Linked DNA regions of Schizosaccharomyces pombe. Changing the gene in region 1 together with any one later gene gives a genetic interaction. Each region holds a gene or a part of one and is shown in the gene's direction. Other genes may lie near its edges.

What was found.
Region 2: of ypt4 (region 1) and lvs1, changing one suppresses a phenotype caused by changing the other (phenotypic suppression), as found in Schizosaccharomyces pombe (one study listed by BioGRID).

The regions. Positions count from the first base shown.
Region 1 is NC_003424.3:4,947,974-4,952,071, reverse strand, and holds ypt4 (GTPase Ypt4), read left to right. Parts: upstream 1-1,959; 5' UTR 1,960-2,049; coding exon 2,050-2,149; exon of another isoform or gene 2,150-2,197; coding exon 2,198-2,802; 3' UTR 2,803-3,175; coding exon of another isoform or gene 3,176-3,269; 3' UTR 3,270-3,313; coding exon of another isoform or gene 3,314-3,456; 3' UTR 3,457-3,531; downstream 3,532-4,098. Other genes in the region: U3 snoRNP-associated protein Nan1, read right to left, coding at 1-335, 507-640; DNA-directed RNA polymerase subunit Rpb10, read left to right, coding at 838-873, 1,190-1,343, 1,407-1,432; SPOM_SPAC1B3.20 (uncharacterized protein), read right to left, coding at 3,176-3,269, 3,314-3,456; protein Hrd302, read left to right, coding at 3,988-4,098.
Region 2 is NC_003423.3:1,851,396-1,856,431, reverse strand, and holds the start of lvs1 (beige protein 1), read left to right. Parts: upstream 1-1,907; 5' UTR 1,908-2,168; coding exon 2,169-5,036. Other genes in the region: serine/threonine protein kinase (CK1 family) Hhp1, read left to right, coding at 1-514, 637-843. UniProt on the Schizosaccharomyces pombe protein: May be involved in protein sorting and cell wall formation.

The DNA.
Region 1 (4,098 bases):
GGGAAAGGGCATAAAGAGTAAATCGATCTTGTGAAGAAGCAGAGTCTGAAGCAGGAGTATCGGTTACAGCAAACAATAGCTTTCCGGAAAAAGAAGCTGCATGGACACGAGTGGAAATCTCCATGGTGCGCAAAAGTTCAGAATTCGACCAGTCATGAACACAGACGTATCCGCTTTGAAAAATCACATATAGCTCAAATGCATTCTCAGGAGACAATAATACAGCTACGGGTAATAAATTGGCCAAATTATTGGGAAAGAAAATTCGATTGATACAATCTCCTGTAATCAAAGAGAAAATTCCAATAAAAGTATCATAAGTAAGAAATACAAATCTAAAAATTAGTAAAAATAACTTAAAAACTGAAAAATACTAGAAAAGCAGCGGCAAGTACAGACAGGAATGAAATTCTTACAGATCATTTCGTGTTATATATTTCAATTAAGAAAATTGAGCAAAAGCAGTCTGTTCAAGGCTACCCAACCTTTAATAAAAAAAAACATACTTGTTATCATTAGAGTAAACTGCAGGGATCTTTGAAACCAAACGACCCCCTAAATATGCAGTTTTAGACCAAGGGTCTTTATCATTTTTTTTGACCTCCAATGAACCAACTTCCATAGAATTAGGCCCTTCCATAATTTTTATTCCTCCAACGAAAAATAATAAAACCGGTTGGAATTAAAACGCAATGGTGGTTGGTTAAAGCCAAATACTTGGTTGTAGCATAAAACTTTTCCTGGCGAACACACCTCCTTCCAATACGCACGGTTACCTTCCCTTTGCCAACAACACTAACAAAGTCAAGAAGGCGACGGGTGTTCAAAGTTAGAAAAATGATCATTCCTATTCGCTGCTTTTCTTGTGGAAAGGTAAGGAAACAAATTGCTATTTATAGGAGGTGGTTGAACGCGATTCACATTTTTTATGGATCGGTAGAAAAATTTCACAATTGCTTCGTGTATTGTATATAGTTTAAGATTAGCCTAAGTTGAAGCATTAGATTATAGTTTTTTTGGTATTAGATTTAGTTTAAAAATAGCCCCATTTTCGCTACTGATTCCAACGAGGACTGATCCACTTTTGGGGCGATTATACATATGTTTGTATATTACGAACGCTTATTTCTATTTGTTCAAAGAATTTCTATCTATTATTTTTTTAATTATTTGCTTGCTAATACAGCAGGTTATTGGTGACAAGTGGGACACCTATCTCACACTCCTTCAAGAGGATAACACAGAGGGTGAGGCATTGGATAAACTTGGCCTTCAACGTTATTGTTGTCGTCGTATGATTCTTACTCATGTCGACTTAATCGAAAAGCTACTTTGCTATAATCGTAAGTTTCATCATAATGATTAATCTGCGAACAACTTAGGAACAAAACTAACTAAGTGTTTAGCGTTGTCAAAACAAAAGAATCTTTAATCGGTTAGCCACGCTTGAAAGAATGTGAGGTTTATACTTGAGATTAGGCCGAGAAGCCTGGATTGTTGCAGAATTTCAATTAGTTTTACATCATTGCTCAAGCACACCGACCGATCATTTAATTATTCACTTTTTCATTTCGTACCCATAGATTCCAAATAACGCGCAAATTTTGGCTTTTCTTCATGATTCTTCTGACATTTTGACTTTGATTATATGCTTGTGTGCTTTGTGACAGTTCAATAGAGGCTTGGACATAGGATAGTCAATTTGCATTTATTTTTTTATTTTTTTCTCTATGTTCATATAATCATTCTGTAAGCTGATGTTGGATGGTTAGTTTTGTTACAGTACAGAACTGAATTTTTAGGTGTAGATATGTAGATGCAAGAACTTAGAGTTATAGTTTCATTGCCAATCAAGTGAAGTTGCATATTACGTCCTTTAGAAATTCATTTTCCTCTTAACATTTTAATCAGAAGTTAATAAATAATATTTTTGGTGTTGTCTACATTTGTTAGTGCTACGTGATCCAGAGCATCATACCAATATCGGAGCCTACGAGCTTGAAATGTCAAGAAGAGAACAATTGAAAGCCAAAAATTCTATTTATTATTATGGACAAAGAATCATATGACTATTTGGTAAAGATTGTACTTGCAGGTCCTTCGGGAACTGGCAAATCCTGCTTGTTACAGAGATTTGTTAAGAATCAATGTAAGTACATGCAAATTTAACAATGTTCAAGTTTTTAATGGAAATTAGGGGATGATCAAGTATCACATACTGTTGGAATCGATTTCGCAAGTCGGATTATAAGTGTTGGAATGGGAAACCAGCAAAAAAGAATCAAGTTACAAATATGGGATACTGCTGGTCAGGAAAAGTTTCGAAGCGTGGCTAGGAATTACTATCGTGGAGCAGCAGGTGCTGTTTTAGTCTATGATGTGACAAACAAGGACTCGTTTGAAGAATTGTCGTCTTGGCTGTCTGATATTCGAGCTATGGCTCCATCAACAATATGTGTTGTATTGGCTGGTAGCAAATCTGATTTACAAAACCAACGACAAGTCTCTACTGAAGAGGCAGCTGAGTTTTGCTCAGAAAAGCATATATCTAGTGCGCATGAAACTAGTTCTTATACAGGAAGCAACGTTGAAGAGTGTTTTCTTTCCGTTGTCTCCACCATAATAACTAGGATTGAGTTGGGTGAAATTGATCCCCAAGATCAATCCTTAGGTATACAATATGGTGATTTAAGTTTCCGTAGACCGGTTCACCCTTCCAGTACTTCGAATTGGTGGACTTCAATTACGAATTGGGACGACCTGGTCCGTTTGGAAAGACAGACCAGATCCTATTGCTGCTGAAAAAAACAGTTATTCAATTATTTATTATTAAATTATCATACGTGTATTATTTTTAAGTTTATGAGGATATTTTCATGATATTTCGAAAGCTCTTCTCAACTTAAACACAGTTTGATGATTGATACATCTATATAATTATGACCATATTTACTGAAGGAAGATGTTAGAGTATAGAGCTGCATTTAACAAAGAGAATTAAATAATTTATTTGAATAATCGCACTTTAAATAAGTCCGATAAGGATCATTTACAAAAGGGTAAATTTACTATAGAAGTTTTGCTTTATGAAGCGCATATATAGAAGTCATCAATTGATTCAATTCATTACAAACGAATAAGGCCAATTACTCAGTCCGTAAAGTCCATATGGGTTTTATTGTTCGTCTTTTGGACCCTCCAAATCAACGGGTTCTTTTAAATTCAATCTATCCAAATTCGCATTGCCCCCATGAGAGAATGGTCTAGGACTATATTGTATTAGAATTAATATTAAAAAATTTTGAGAGCATACTTTACAGGAAAACCAGCAGGCCCACGAAGGGGAGGCATGCCATGACTTTCGGTTTCCCGCAATGCATTCCTTAGGTCCGTTTGTTTTTCAGATTTACTACGATTATCACCAGTAGAATGATCTGTATTGGAATTAGAACTCATTTTTTATGTGTTTGGTTCTTGGTAAGTAACGATTACTGCGTTGGTTTCACATCGTCTGTTCCACGTCAAACTTATAACCTGACATCAACATAACATATCCATAAATTGGCAGTCTTCGCTCTTTTCATAATCTTTTTAAAAAAAACCAATTAAGTTTTGTTATTTAAGATCAAGAAGATTTACTCCAAGTTGGTATGGTTGCCTGATTTATTCCGCCATTCAATCCTACATTGTTATAGTTGTTTTGAAGGTGCGGGCTAACAATAACAAAAGCTTTTATTTTCCCATTTTGAGCATTTCATATTTTGTGAATGCTTTGCCTTTCTCGCTTTTGTGATAACTTACACTTGCATTGTTCCACTGTTAGTTTAGACGCGTTTGTTGTTGGAAGTCATTGAAAGAAAAGCTCCGGTAAATTTATCAATAAAAACGTTACACTTTTGTTGCTGTAAAATTCGTCTCAAGCGGGTAAATTTGCCCTGTTTTCAGTTACAACTGTCATTGTTAACTTGTACATATCATTATTAAATTATGGGGGTTTCGGTTCTGACGTTTCACGTTAGTTTATTTTTGAAAAGAATCTTAAGCATAGCATTTTTTTTGCTTTCTTTGTCTACCTTATTGCGTATCGTGAATGCACAA
Region 2 (5,036 bases), on another chromosome or scaffold:
TCTTCATCGTGATATTAAGCCTGATAACTTTTTAATGGGAATAGGTAAAAGAGGAAATCAAGTTAACATAATTGATTTCGGATTGGCTAAGAAGTATCGTGATCACAAAACTCACCTGCACATTCCTTATCGCGAGAACAAGAATCTTACAGGTACTGCACGCTATGCTAGCATCAATACTCATTTAGGTATTGAACAATCCCGCCGTGATGACCTCGAATCTTTAGGTTATGTGCTCGTCTACTTTTGTCGTGGTAGCCTGCCTTGGCAGGGATTGAAGGCTACCACGAAAAAGCAAAAGTATGAAAAGATTATGGAGAAGAAGATCTCTACGCCTACAGAGGTCTTATGTCGGGGATTCCCTCAGGAGTTCTCAATTTATCTCAATTACACGAGATCTTTACGTTTCGATGACAAACCTGATTACGCCTACCTTCGCAAGCTTTTCCGAGATCTTTTTTGTCGGCAATCTTATGAGTTTGACTATATGTTTGATTGGACCTTGAAGAGAAAGGTATGAGATATCTTGGTAATAGTGCTTTTTTTATTTTCTGGGTTTCCGAGTTATTGAAAACCAATGTAATATGATATTTTATGAAGTTTACATAGTCACATTTACTAACATTTAAATTGTAGACTCAACAAGACCAACAACATCAGCAGCAATTACAGCAACAACTGTCTGCAACTCCTCAAGCTATTAATCCGCCGCCAGAGAGGTCTTCATTTAGAAATTATCAAAAACAAAACTTTGATGAAAAAGGCGGAGACATTAATACAACCGTTCCTGTTATAAATGATCCATCTGCAACCGGAGCTCAATATATCAACAGACCTAATTGATTAGCCTTTCATATTATTATTATATAGCATGGGCACATTATTTTTATATTTTCTTCTCATCTGGAGTCTTCCAATACTTGCCTTTTATCCTCCAGACGTCCTTTAATTTTGTTGATAGCGCAGGGCTTTTTCCTTGGGATGGCGAAAGTTACTTTGCTTATAGTTTATTGAGGGTTCATAGCTTATTTGGCTGAAGATCTTGTGTTGACTTAAATTCTATGCTAACCTCATGATCATATCCTCATTATGGCAAGTTTTGGTGAAAAATTTTTTAATATTAGTACATTTGCTAATAATACATTTGGTATTTGTTTTTACTACCTGTGAATCTATTCATACATTATCATATATGTTTCGAGCCAGGAACAGAAAAAAGTGAGAGAATTTTCTGCAGAAATGATCATAATTTTATCTTCGCTTAACACGAATCCTGGTGACAGATTATGCGTGGTTTAAAGCCTTTTTTTTACGACGCCATAAGCAAATTGGTTACTTTTTTATGTGTGATGAGCCTTGGGGTTTAATCTAATTAGAAGGCATTGCATTCATATACTTTTAATAATATATTATCAGCTATTTGCTGCTTTTCTTTATAGATACCGTCTTTTCCAAGCTGAACTCATTTAATCAGCGTCGTTTAACCTTAGGATGCTTAAGATGCGTTTAAATTCAATGACTTAATGCTCGAGGGATGAATGGTTTGTTTTAGTTCGTGTTCTGGGTGCATGATCTCGTGCTTGACTGTTTTATTGAAGCGTTCATTTCATGAAGTGTCTTTCGATGTTGTTCACACTTCTGTTTGCTAAATATAATAAATATTTTGCTTTTCATTTTAGTTTGTAAACATACTTGAAAAAACTAGAAAGGTGTTGTTTGTAAGTTTTTGAATTATCAATAAGATGAATTTAGAATGATGACACCTACTTCAAAATCAACAAGCATAAATGAAATAGAAATAAATTGTCTTTACTTACTATCTATTTGGTGTAGTTCTCTTCTACAGCAAGTTTTCATAGTTCACTTCGTTTGGCAAGAAATCATTATCACCGCTATACTTCACCGCCAACCACTACGAACTATTATTGCCAGTTTCAATAACGATAAATTTAAGCAAGCATCAATTTTCATTAATTTCATCGATTATATATATTAATCGTTTTCTTTTTTAAAACCATTTCTCTCTGCTTCAACTCACATGACCTATTCATAATATACACTCACTTGACCAGAGTTTATCGAAATAAATACGAAACTTGTGCACCAGGGGCTAGGAACGAATATTTTTGTTAGGTTCTTTCTTCTATCTTTTATTCAAGTAAGCTGCTATGGACAGAAAGGCGAATGCCTATTCTAAAAGCGTTGAGTTGTTATCGAGGCTTGAGGGTTGTCCCTCAGAAAAAGTTCTGTTAGAAGAGTTACGAAAATTGAGGGGGTTCATTCGAAATGATATTCCCAGTAATTTTTTTCCACAACTCTTTATTACTGACAATGGCTTTGCAGCCATTAAGAAGGCTGTCACTAAGCTAAACTTTCAATCGTTACTAAGTCTTGATATTTTTGAATGCTGCTTGCAAATATTAGGAATTGCAACTTCTTATACTATCTTGCGTTCTTGGTTACTATCCAGAAAACATATTGAGGCATGGATTGAGCTCGCTATTCGAAGAATGTTTTATTCATTCTGTGCTATACAGGATGATTCCAATATTTCCATTTATGCAATAGGTACTTCTTCCAAGACAGATTCTTCTATTCAAGCTGCTTCTCCTAATGAAGATTTAAAGTCAGAAGGGGCGCAAGAGATTGATTCCCAATCGGAGACAGTTTCAATATCTTCTGACGTTGATTATGATGAAGATCGTAAGGATTTAAAGAAGGCCAAGATATGTAGTGCATATTACCTAAAAACTAGGCTACTTCTGGCTGTTTTGTCTTTTGCCCAAAACGATAGTACTTTTTCGCTTTTGAAGCTTGTACCTTCTTTGCAAGATAATACCAATGCATCTCTTGTTGAGTTATCTCGCGTAGTGGAAGCTGCAATACAGAAGCTTTCCATCAAACCGCTAGCTTTCCCTAATGTTTTACCCCAAGTCCTTCTTCTCTGTCCTTCTATCTCCATTTTCAATCTTATCCTACTTCACCTTCGTGCACTTATTCGTTCTTCTCCTGAAAACGCTATTAAAATTGGTTATTCCAAAACTATGCATTTCCTTTTAACATACCTTTTCGAGCCTCCCACTTCTTTTCCATTGTCGGATGTTTCGAAAGATTTGCTCAATGAGATCACATTACATTGTGCCACTTTTGGAGTGTCGAATGCTTCTACTGCAAAGGTTTTACGTACATATTTGAAAACCAAGTCTGAATTCCTTCGAACATGGTTATTAAAAGCTCTTTCCCACCTTGTTGCACCATCTTTTTATTTTAATCCTTCGACAAAAGGTTACTCTTCTATTGATTTTACGCTGAGCTCTCCTGTAATGCCAATTAATGGATATTCTGTTTCCCTTTGGTTAAACATTGAGTCTCTAATGAACGATGATGGCAATTATGCCCCAACTACCCTTTTTCTCATCTCTGATTTTTTGAAATCAACCCTTTTTCGCTTACTACTTGATGCATCCAAAAAGACTGTAGTTGTTCATATTGGCTCAAGTAAAGATACCTGTGTAGTTAACTTTTCAACTCCTATTACCAATTTTTTTTCCAAAATTTACAAAGATAATCCTAGTCTAAATCCACCTTCGTGGCATTTGATTACCTTAGTCCATCGTAACGAAAAATCTTCTCTTCCCAACTTGGAACTATATATTGATGGTTCTGCTGTTGAACGCGCTGCTTGCCCTTACCCATTTCTTTCTTCTACCTTACAGCCATTATACGTATCTTTAGGTCCCAGCATTGGATCAAGGAACCAATCTACCCCATCAACCCTTGCACCTAATGTAGCTGAAACTGATGCACTTGTTTCAGAGAACACTGGAGCAGCATCTCAAAAGACATCTAAGTCTTATAAAACTAACGACTCCTTGAAAGTGCCTCCACTAGTACCTCTATTAATAGGGACAACACGGTTTTTTCCGGTTCCTTTAGTTTCATCGCAAATAGCAATTATTAGTAGTCTAGGACCAAGTTATTCGGGATGTTTTCAAGGTCCAATCAATGATTATATGACTTACAAAGCGTCTACTGCTCTTACTCTAGAAATCCAAGATTCTAAATCAAATACCGAAGATTTACTGCATAGTATTCAAGCATTCTCTCGTTCTCCCATCGCTTTCATGAGCTGTGCAAGGGATTATGTTGATATTATGGACTTACAACTTTCTGACTTTTGCTCTTTTTCTGTTTTGGAAACGTTAAAAAAGTTGGAGAATCAATATTATTCGCATGTTTATATAAATCGAGCTGTCTCGTCTTATGATAAAGCATTCTCAGCTGAACAACCTAGCTTCGGTGTATCTTCTGGATCTGTTACTCCAATCATAATGCAAAGTATTAGTGATGCCATTTACAATATAGGTGGTTCATCTATTCTGCTAGAACTTGTCGGTACCGCTGAGACTGAGGCAGAGCTCAACTTTGGATTGCAAGTATTTTTCTCTTCAATTGAGGATAACTGGAGGTTTTCTGAGAATGTTGAGCAAACACATTCTTTTGAAATTTTGGCTCAAATTTTACACTCAAAGTCCCATCTTCTTGTATCCGAAGAAACTCTTAAAATTATTGCTTTAATGTCTGGGGTACACCATACGCGCTTTAAGCATCCTCTTGTAATGAATCCACTGTTGTTTCGATATTTAATTTTAGATTTTGATTTATGGTCCAAGGCACCTAATTCTAATTTATTTGTTCAGCAGTTAGGTTATATTGTTTCTCTTATTGAGAATAATGATTATGCCGGTTTTAACGTTAAACGATTAATGAAAATGCAAATATTAAAAAAACTTTTAACGGCAATGAGAAATTGTTTATTTCATAAGGATTTGCTTCCAATATTACGCCTCCTTTTCAAAGTTTTGATGACCTCTGCTTTTGTTTCTGAAAATATTCGCTCCGTTGCTACATATATAATTTATGCATCCCAAGCAACTGGAAAATCTAAACCCATTCGCCGTTCTAGTGTTTCAATTGCTGTAGATCGTTCTGATTCTAATTATATTAGCATCAAAGAGTCTGGATACGCGATTTGT